3 linked regions of the Xenopus tropicalis genome follow. The protein of the gene in region 2 interacts with the protein of the main gene of each other region in a pairwise test. Links are inferred from orthologs where the notes say so. Each region holds a gene or a part of one and is shown on either strand. Other genes may lie near its edges.

What was found.
Region 1: the proteins of hax1 (region 2) and sav1 interact in binary tests that used the Homo sapiens proteins (3 or more experiments, as listed by UniProt). The link is inferred for Xenopus tropicalis from reciprocal best matches to the Homo sapiens genes HAX1 and SAV1.
Region 3: the proteins of hax1 (region 2) and htt interact in binary tests that used the Homo sapiens proteins (3 or more experiments, as listed by UniProt). The link is inferred for Xenopus tropicalis from reciprocal best matches to the Homo sapiens genes HAX1 and HTT.

The regions. Positions count from the first base shown.
Region 1 is NC_030684.2:93,071,898-93,075,553, reverse strand, and holds part of sav1 (protein salvador homolog 1), read left to right. Parts: intron 1-848; coding exon 849-1,001; intron 1,002-3,656. UniProt on the Homo sapiens protein: Regulator of STK3/MST2 and STK4/MST1 in the Hippo signaling pathway which plays a pivotal role in organ size control and tumor suppression by restricting proliferation and promoting apoptosis.
Region 2 is NC_030684.2:143,228,431-143,232,086, reverse strand, and holds part of hax1 (HCLS1-associated protein X-1), read left to right. Parts: intron 1-422; coding exon 423-586; intron 587-2,580; coding exon 2,581-2,629; intron 2,630-2,791; coding exon 2,792-2,907; intron 2,908-3,036; coding exon 3,037-3,160; intron 3,161-3,243; coding exon 3,244-3,347; 3' UTR 3,348-3,656. UniProt on the Homo sapiens protein: Recruits the Arp2/3 complex to the cell cortex and regulates reorganization of the cortical actin cytoskeleton via its interaction with KCNC3 and the Arp2/3 complex. Slows down the rate of inactivation of KCNC3 channels. Promotes GNA13-mediated cell migration.
Region 3 is NC_030677.2:22,808,818-22,812,473, forward strand, and holds part of htt (huntingtin), read left to right. Parts: intron 1-107; coding exon 108-238; intron 239-1,191; coding exon 1,192-1,321; intron 1,322-1,490; coding exon 1,491-1,646; intron 1,647-1,779; coding exon 1,780-1,970; intron 1,971-3,088; coding exon 3,089-3,203; intron 3,204-3,656.

The sequences.
Region 1 (3,656 bases), about 50 Mb from region 2:
TGTGCCAGAGCCCTTAACAGTGAGATGCAAGCCTATTTGCATTGCTTTACTAGTTTAAGCTTTACCTGAGGTGTGTGAGTAAAATGCCCATACAAGCACCGATATGATCATATGAAGTTTCAAACGATTTCCGGACCGTGTGTGGACTCCAGATAATCATCCCCATGATTTTTGTATCATGTTAATTAGTCATTTAGTCAATAGGACAGGTTAGAAAATTTTTGTCGGATAATGATATTTTTGCATATATTGGCCTATATGACAATATTCTTCTTTCAATATTATTTTTTTCTTTTCCTGATGTGCTGTTGTCAATACTATTGCAATTGCTACGATTGTTGTCTGTCAATGGCCAGAACAGCATCTGATTTGTTACTTTTCAAAAGTTAATCCTGCAATTTAAATCTGACTGTTAGTTTAGATAGTTGCATTAAAATGTACAATCGATATCCAAGTGTTCGTCGTACGATGTCTAAAATCCAGCTTAAGAGTTCATGCAGCATTTCAGACAGGAGCCAATTTACAGCCAGTAGAAAGCTATACTAGAATTATATTCTCTCTCTGGCTATGAGCTCAGCTGTAAAATCTTTAGGGAAGAGAGAGCAGAATGCAGTGGGTACTAATACTGCTTGCTCTCAGTCATACATAGAATAAAATAACTAATATTTTTAAAGAGCAAAAAATGAAACCAAATTGCAATTTGTACACATTTACTTGAATTTTATATTTGGTATCCCATGTAAGTTTAAATCTGTGTGTAACATCTCAAACGTGTGTACATCTGTGTGTAACATCTCAAACGTGTGTACATCTGTGTGTACCATCTCAAACTCTGTGTTTTCTTGCAGTGTTCCCCGATATGACCAGCCGCCCCCTCTCCCTCCTCCAGTAACTTATCAGCCTCAGCAAGTGGAAACTCAGGCCTTGCTTGTCCCAGCTAATCCTTACCACACAGCAGAGATTCCTGACTGGCTTCAGGTTTATGCAAGGGCTCCTGTAAAGTGAGTTGTTGTTTTTTTTTTTTTATCTTCAAGAATTGTTTTCCTTTTAAAAATCATGTCTTGATTATAACATCCATGTTTATGTGTTCATGTACACAGCTACTGTGGTAGTCAAGGTCAGCATAGGCCATTTTGTGTTGTAAAATATACACTTCACAGGCAAATATGTTTTGCCACTCAGATTTTAGTCTAATTTTTGAAAATCAATCAGGTTTAAATGCAACAATCTAAAACTAACATTCAATCTGAAATTGTAGGATAAAGCCCTAAAAATAACAAATCGGAGGATATTTTGAACATGAAATAGTTGGCAGACACCAATCGTATGAAAGTGACTTCCTGGAAATGAATTGTAGGGGGCCCACACACAATCCGAGTTTTGTACAAATATATTCATGCGTGTATGGCCATCTTAAGGGGCATATTTATGAAAAAGTAAAATTAGGTCTTGTCACAGTGACATTTTCCACTCTGTTCGTTTGTATGGGATTTTTTACACAAAAATATGTACATTTATTAAAGTTTTTGTTTTTTTTATTGGTTTTAACAATATAGCAGAGTGTATCTGATTATTTATATTGTCTGCACTCCTGGCTTTGGCTCCTAAAACAGTGTTACAAGCCTGATAAGGGATTAACAGACCTGGAATTGAACTGACTACTGTTCTGCTTTACATAGTAGGCAGTGCACAAATTCTCCCAGAATCCATTACTTCACAATGGAACAAGGTTAAGGAGGGGTTGTGTTACACTGTGAGCCTAAGGGGTGTGTGTAGCTGATCCCAGCAAACACAGACAGATTATTATGGATTCCTTTTACTCAGGTGCGTGTAAGACAAAAATTATATTTATTTTTCAGATAGTGTTTATGCACCTTTTCTTATGTAAGCCCACCTGAATGAGCTGTCAAAAATGGGTAACTTTAGTGACCATTGTAGTATGAACATTAATGTACGTGGAACAAGTATTTCAGTGTTCTTTGAATGTTTTCCATGCATGTTCATTTACTAGCCTCAGTGTGAGACACAATGCAGGAAGTCCCTTCATGGTTTCCATAGGGTTGTAACTATGCTGCAGCTAGAAGTATGCCAGCTATGACATTTACTGTGGAACATAGTAGCTGCTCCGGGAACGTGATGTACTAATAATGTCTATTGCTGGTTGTCATTGAGAAGAGTGATCATGGTACAGCTGTTTGCTCTGAGTCACAGGGTAATACACATTGTACATTTTATGCTCATTCGCTTCCCTTCTTCATTATTCGCTTATCATATATCTGTTTTGCATATTACTTTTCCTATATTTATTATTTTGCATTCCTTGTTCTTCATTGCAGACCCAGTTTCTACCCTTTCCCCAGTTTGTGATATTGTACCACACATATAGATGATCAGATTGTATACATTTTGCAACTATAACTATATTACACTATATTACACTCTATCTGTGATTGCCAGATCAAAATGTGCTATCCAGTTTTGATGCCCTCCCCGTCCCACCATGTGCTCCCCATTCAGATTAAAGGAAAGTGCTCTATTCCTATGGTAGATGTTGGCACTGTCAGGTGTGGATCCATGGGCGTCCGCAGAAAATTTTCCAAGGGGGGGCAAGTAAGCTAGCATCATCCTGCAACAGATAAATATATATATATATTTTTTTTTTTTGCAGGATGATACTAGGGGAGGCTAAATATGGCCCATACACAGACTGACCTATAGCTAATGTGACACTTAGTGGATTCACTGCTGACGTAAAAAGTTAACCTCCCAACTACCTCTTGCCGTTCCCACTGACTCCCAGGGATACTGTACAAAAGTGCGGGTGGGGGGTGCTTTTTTTTTTTTACCCTAAAATGTTTAGTATTAGTAGTAAAAGTATTCATACGCGCACTTCTGTTAGGGGATCTGCAAACATTTGTGTTTGGGATCAGTTAGCTTAAAGGGGTAGTTCGCATTCGAATTCACTTTTATTTTTAATGGTTTTTCAGTTATTTAGCTTTTTGTTCAGCAGCTCTCCATTTGGTATTTCAGCAGCTATCTGGTTGCTAGGGTCTTATTTACCCTAGCAACCAGGTAGTGATTTAAACAAGAGATGGGAATATGAATAGTTAAGGGGCCTACTTGGAAAAATAAGTAATACAAAATTATAATAATAATAAAATTGTAGCCTCGCAGAGCAATATTTTTTGGCCCCCATTTGAAATCTGTATAGAGGCAGAAGAGAAAGGCAAATTATTCAAAAAAATTAATTAGGAAGACCAATTGCAAAGTTGCTAGGAATAGGCCATTTTATAACATACTAAAGGTTAACTTAAAAGTGAACCACCCCTTTAGATGTGTTTATGTTAGTTTTATAGCAAGAAAGGCAGTGGGTACTGACTCCCCATTATATACAGTGAGACACAGTCCGTAGTTACAAAACCAGCACATTATATGCCATGAGAAGCAGTGGGTACTGATGGCAGATATTCAGGCCCTGGCACTATAACACTGGCACTGATACACAACATTGGCCCCACTGTAACTTACTATAAATGAACAAAACAATGACAAAAAAAAAAAAAAAAATAGTAAGTGCAAAAAACAACAAAACATATATAAACACACAATGAGCTTTTTCAGAGGGAAAGAGTTAACTTACCCTCCATGTGTTAGGG
Region 2 (3,656 bases):
TGTTCTTATTTCCCCTTTATTATATTCCTATAGATCTGCTCACAGCTGGGTAACTAGGAGTAACATGTTCTTATTTCCCCTTTATTATATTCCTATAGATCTGCTCACAGCTGGATAACTAGGAGTAACATCATGTTCTTATTTCCCCTTTATTATATTCCTATAGATCTGCTCACAGCTGGGTAACTAGGAGTAACATGTTCTTATTTCCCCTTTATTATATTCCTATAGATCTGCTTACAGCTGGGTAACTAGGAGTAACGTTCTTATTTCCCCTTTATTATATTCCTATAGATCTGCTTACAGCTGGGTAACTAGGAGTAACATGTTCTTATTTCCCCTTTATTATATTCCTATAGATCTGCTCACAGCTGGGTAACTAGGAGTAACGTTCTTATTTCCCCTTTATTCTTTCCCGTTAGAGCTGCCGGGAGCGGATCCCCCATTGCGGAGACCAGAGGGTTTTGGGGCAAAGTCGCTCCGGGACTTCATGCTGAAATCCCCAGACTCGCACCTCCCCAGAAGCCCCAGCACCCAGGCCCCTCCCAGACTTCCAAGGGCAACACCATGGGGCAGATACAGCTGGGTAGGTTCTGATTTTCCCATTTATGACTAGAATGTTCTAGAACAGTGCTGTCCAACTGACCCCCCTCTGTGTGGCCCCCCACCTGTCTGGCTGCTTTGATGGTTTACCCTTGTATAAGCTTTAAATGGTATCAGTACTGAGATTAACTGCCCCCCCTGCATGGTTCTCACCTCAGATTCAGGCTGTAATCCCTCTGCATTGTTTAAACATGTAATCCCCTGTGTTGTTCCACCTTTTAATCTCTGCATTGTTCCCCCCTGCAGTGTTCACACCTCAGGCTCAGGCTGTAATCACCCACATTGTTCCCCTGTTCACACCTCAGGAGCAGTAGAAACCCACAAATAAACCCTGCACACTACAAAAAGAACATATACTGAGGTGGTACTGCAATTAAATTTTTTTTTAATATATAGTTATTGTGCAGACTGTAGGAGCAGTGCCAGCATTGTGTCACTACACTGTGCCATACACACAGGCAGGGTAGGGCAGACAGAGTATGGCACACACAGGCAGGGTAGGGCAGGCAGAGTATGACACACAGGCAGCATAGGGCAGGCAGAGTATGGCACACACAGGCAGGGTAGGGAAGGCAGAGTATGGCACACACAGGCAGGGTAGGGCAGGCAGAGTATGACACACAGGCAGCATAGGGCAGGCAGAGTATGGCACACACAGGCAGGGTAGGGAAGGCAGAGTATGGCACACACAGGCAGGGTAGGGCAGGCAGAGTATGGCGCACACAGGCAGAGTATGGCGCACACAGGCAGAGTATGGCGCACACAGGCAGAGTATGGCGCACACACAGGCAGAGTATGGCGCACACACAGGCAGAGTATGGCGCACACACAGGCAGAGTATGGCGCACACACAGGCAGAGTATGGCGCACACACAGGCAGAGTATGGCGCACACACAGGCAGAGTATGGCGCACACACAGGCAGAGTATGGCGCACACACAGGCAGAGTATGGCGCACACACAGGCAGAGTATGGCGCACACACAGGCAGAGTATGGCGCACACACAGGCAGAGTATGGCGCACACACAGGCAGAGTATGGCGCACACACAGGCAGAGTATGGCGCACACACAGGCAGAGTATGGCGCACACACAGGCAGAGTATGGCGCACACACAGGCAGAGTATGGCGCACACACAGGCAGAGTATGGCGCACAGGCAGGGGCAGAGTATGGCGCACACACAGGCAGGGTAGGGCAGGCAGAGTATGGCGCACACACAGGCAGGGTAGGGCAGGCAGAGTATGGCGCACACACAGGCAGGGTAGGGCAGGCAGAGTATGGCGCACACACAGGCAGGGTAGGGCAGGCAGAGTATGGCGCACACACAGGCAGGGTAGGGCAGGCAGAGTATGGCGCACACACAGGCAGGGTAGGGCAGGCAGAGTATGGCGCACACACAGGCAGGGTAGGGCAGGCAGAGTATGGCGCACACACAGGCAGGGTAGGGCAGGCAGAGTATGGCGCACACCACAGGCAGGGTAGGGCAGGCAGAGTATGGCGCACACACAGGCAGGGTAGGGCAGGCAGAGTATGGCGCACACACAGGCAGGGTAGGGCAGGCAGAGTATGGCGCACACACAGGCAGGGGTAGGGCAGGGCAGAGTATGGCGCACACACAGGCAGGGTAGGGCAGGCAGAGTATGGCGCACACACAGGCAGGGTAGGGCAGGCAGAGTATGGCACACACAGACAGGGTAGGGCAGGCAGAGTATGGAAGGTTTTTGCTGTACTACAAACATTAATATGGTTATGGTCATGTGATAACATGGGTGCGGTTTCAAAAAGGGGAGTGGTCAAAACTGGCTTCCATTATTGGCCCTCCACCACGTAGGTTGGAAAAATTCCAGCCCTCGGTACCACAGAAGTTGGACAGCACTGTTCTAGAAGTATAGCGATCAGGCTCCACTTGGTGTCACTAGGTGGCGCTGCGTTGGGCTGTTATTCTGTTTGTGACTGTGTCCGTTTGTGCCGGCAGGATGGTGGGGAGGTTGAAATCCCACAAGGTGGCGCCAAGCAAGACCGAGGTGAGTCCATGTTTGGGGGTGCATCATGCAGTACTGGGGGGCAGGGGAGAATGTAGGAGATCACTGGGTGAGTTGAGTCTCTTTTCCTGCCCTTTGCTCTTCCTCCATCCCGTCCCCTAAATCCTGCCCTAATGCCCGGTATTGCCCCCCCCCCCTGTGTAGATCTGGACTCGGAAGTCTCCTCTCGGGGTTTGGACACGATTCTGAGACCGTCGGAGCCGAGAGCCTCTTCCTTTTTCCAAAGTGTTTCTGTGTCTAAGTTGGTGAGACCCGACGGGGTAAGTTGGCGCTGAGGGAAGGCACCAATCAAGTGTTTGTGTGTATGCCAAGGGGTGTGGCTATAGGACCCCTGCGCGTACCCCAGATTGTTTATGTGCCCCATGTTTCTCCTCTGCCCCCCGTGACAGACGATAGAAGAGAGACGCACTGTGCGAGACAGCCAGGGGAACACGAGCACCACGGTGACTGTGCAGAGAGGGGACGAGATCCTCAGCAGCGAGACACGCGAGGGCCCCCAGGGGCCAAACGTTGGTAAGTACCAAATGCAGGCAGTGAGCACCATTGTGGGAAAGTAATAGCTCGGCTCATGAGTCGCAATCCCTCTGCCCCCTCAGGGGATCACGTACGCAGGCCCTCGGATCCTCGCTCCCCTCCGGATCTGTCCGACTCACAGACTGTGCTCAGCCGGATCCTACAGAGATGGTTTTCCCAGCGATAGAGACTCCATCACCGGTACCCACGATCCTGGCACCCCCCGGGGCACCCCCATATCCAGTGTGTGCGTTTCTACTCTCCTGGGGGTTACAAGGACCCCAATAAACCCCGGGACCCTGATCTGCAGATGGGCCCCCTGCTGCCAATTTCCCTGTCTGATATATAATTATAGCGCTTCCCGACTGCCTGCTGTCACCTCTATATGTCACGGTCTGGGCAAAAAAATAAATATACCCCCCCCAGCTTATTGGTTCAGGCCACAAGAACCAGGCACTCTTTTATTTCTCCTAATTTATATTGCTTTTCTGCTTCT
Region 3 (3,656 bases), on a different chromosome or scaffold from region 2:
TTAATGCCATGTCCCATAGTTCAGTGTTATCTGGAAGGAAGATTTATGTAGATGCTGGATCCCTTCTCTCTCTAGCCGCTGATAATAAGCCCTCTTGCACCTTCCAGGTCTCCATTCATTCCGTCTGGCTGGGGAATAACATCACCCCGCTGAGGCAAGAAGAGCTTGATGAAGACGAGGAAGATGAGAATGAAAACCCTACTCCTTCCTCACCACCCATGTCTCCAATAAACTCCAGGTCTTCTTTCAAAAACACTTCAAAGCCTTTCCTTATCTTTTAAAGGGGTAGTTCAGCTTTAAATTAACTTTTAGGGGCACATTTACTAATCCACGAATCCGAATCACGAATGGGAAAAAATCATATTGGAAACGAAAATTTTGGAAGATCGCAAATATCACGAAAATGCTTACGAAAAAATCGTATTAGTCACGATAATATTGTATTGGCGATCCGAAAATCACGAAATTTTTGTACCGAACAATTGTAAACAGCGGTAAACCTTTCCGATTTTTTCATACAAACGGCCGAAAAAGTCGTGCGCCGTACGAAAAAGTAGTGCGCCGTACGAAAAAGTCGTGCGCCGTACGAAAAAGTCGTGCGCCGTACGAAAAAGTCGTGCGCCGTACGAAAAAGGCGTGCGGACGCCCGAAAAAAATCGGCAAAAATACGCTCGGATCGTTCGCATGAACGCTCGAGCGTTCGTGCTTTCGTAAATGTGCCCCATAGAGTGATGCAGACATTGATATTCTAAGACAATTTGCAATTGGTCATTATTTTTTATTTGTTGTGGTTTTCCAGTTATTTAGAGTTTTCTTTAGCCGCTCTCCAGTTTATTTTTTGCTGGGAATATAAATAGAGGAGGGCCTATATTGAAGGATAAGTAATTAAAAGTAACAATAAAACTGTAGCCTCTCGGAGCAATAGTTTTTGGCTGCTGGGGTCACCGACCCCCCATTCAGAGTCAGAGGAGAAAGGCAAATAAATACTATAAATAATGAAGACCAGTTTCAAAGTTGCTAGGAATAGGACATTCTATAACATATTAAAAGTTAACTTAAAGTTGAACCACCCCTTTAAAGAGTGTTTCCATTCATGGATTCTGTATTTTTGATACTAGATATACGAATCTGCTTTATTTTTGTCAGTTGGGAAAGAAGCAAAGTATCAGTTTGGTTCCGCTTGCATTGCAGGAAACACCGGGCCGGTGTAGACATACACTCTTGCTCCCAGTTCCTGTTAGAGCTGTACAGCCAGTGGATCCTTCCCACCAACACAGGGAAAAAGACTCCAGCCATTCTGATCAGTGAGGTGGTGAGATCGGTGAGTATTTGCCATTGCACATGAATACAAAGTATGCTCTATGGCAGCACCGGTCAATGCACTCTCATATCTACTCTCAGTGCTGTGAGAGGTTTAAACATAGCTATAGTCTCTTTTTCCTTATTGTATGAAGCCTGGCATTCATCTTGCTATGTTTGCTTGCCTTCAGCTCCTGACGGTGTCTGATTTATTTACTGAGAGGAACCAGTTTGAGATGATGTACACAGCACTGACAGAGCTGCAGAAACAACACCCGTCGGAAGATGAAATTCTCAACCAGTATCTGGTGCCGGCCATCTGCAAAGCTGCCGCTGTGCTGGGAATGGTAAGGGAATCGCATAGCAACCCCTGAAAGCTTTGCTCTTACATGCACACAACATATTCGCTACTGTGTGAGTAATATCAGTACTGCGTATTCCGGAATGGAAATAGTCACATTCACTGTTATTTCCCCTCAGGACAAAGTTATTGCAGAGCCAGTGAGCCGGATAATAGAGACAACACTAAGAAGCACCCATATGCCGAGCCGTATCGGAGCACTACATGGGATACTGTACATCCTAGAGTGTGACCTGCTCGATGACACCGCAAAGCAGCTCATACCCGTCATCAGCGACTATCTGCTTTCCAACCTGAGAGGCATAGCACAGTAAGGGGTTGATTTACCAAAATTCGTTTTTTCCGGCCTTGAAAGTCATATAAACTCGACATGGTATAAATTCGAATTAAACTCAATCATTATTGTATTTATAAAATGTCACGATAATGCTTGAATCATTCATATGAAAATTTTGAGTTTACAATCCTGAATTTTTCAAGCCGCAACTATTGTTAAAACACGATTTTAGTAAAGGACATTCATTTCCATAAATAATCTTTTTATTTTTCCCAAACAGGAATTGCTCCAGTAGCCATTTTAGGAGCACTAGCACTCATTCTTGTGTTTCACTTAAAAGTGGGTAAAATAGAAAGCAGTGAGGGGGTTAACTTCCCCTTGAAAACGTGTGAAATAGAAAACAATGAGGGGTTGACTTCTCCTTGAAACTGGGTGAAATAGAAAAACTCAGTGGTGCTCAACAGATCAAACCTGCAAATTTATTTTGACAAAAAAGTGTTAACTAAACACTAAAACGAATTATGGGAAAAATTTCCGGAAAACTTTGAAATACCTAGAAGTGGAAAAAATCAACTTTTGCTCAAAATTGCTTAGTAAACGTTCCCCTAAGTGCCCGGGCCGTTGGGCTATGTGCCGCCTGGCCAGTGTGACATACTGTCTGTGCAGGACTAGTTCTGTTCATCTCCATTTATTTCTGCTTCACTTTTCACCAATAAGAACTAAACCCTGTGCCGAAGCCACTGCACATTTCCAAGCTTCATATGTGTTTTCCATTGCCCCATTTACTTGTCCTGAACTCCTGGTGTCAGCATTTGGCCCAAGCACCAAACAAACCTGCCTTTGCCCTGCAGTCTAGTAAGGAAGTGCTGGATTTAGTTTCTGTGTCAAAAAGGTGGGGGAAACTAAATCTTTGAGATGCCAGTCACTATGTGATAAGCACCTTGAAGGTTCATGATTTGCTTGATTCATTTCATAGTAGGGTAACCTGTGGCAACCAATCAGCATTTTGGTTTGATCATTCTTCTGCAAGGTGAATAATGAAAGCACCCATCTGACTGGTTGCTTTACTTTACTGCTACGGTGGAAATTCAGCCAATGTGTATTTATTGCTTTATGTCTATATAATACAGTGTGTGTTGTTATTTGTACAGCTGTGTGAATCTGCATAACCAGCAGCACGTCCTCGTTATGTGCGCCACGGCATTCTACTTAATTGAGAACTATCCCCTGGATGTAGGACCAGAGTTCACGTCAGGAATCATACAGGTGGGCTTGAGGCGATCGTATGCAATACAGGGACCCAGGCTGAACACTACAGGGGGCTTTGTGCAATTGTAAGGCGTATGCAAAGGGACAAAACCCACGAGTCCTTTATTACACCTGATGTTATTGTTCTTACTGATGTTAAAGGGCTGGTTCACCTTTAGGTTAATTTTTAGTTTGTTATAGAATATCCTATTCCTAGCAACTTTGTAATTGGTCTTCGTTATTTTGTTTTGAATTATTTTTCTTCTCCTTCTGATTCTTTCCATCTTCAAATTGGACTCACTGACCCCAGCAGCCAAAAAATAAAACTATTGCTCTGTAAGGTTACAATTTTATAGTTATTCTTACTTTTTTGTACCTTAACTTCCTGTTTAATATTCATATTACAGTCTCTCATTCAAACCACTGCCTGGTTGCTAGGATAGAACCCTAGCAACCATATAGGTGCCGCAA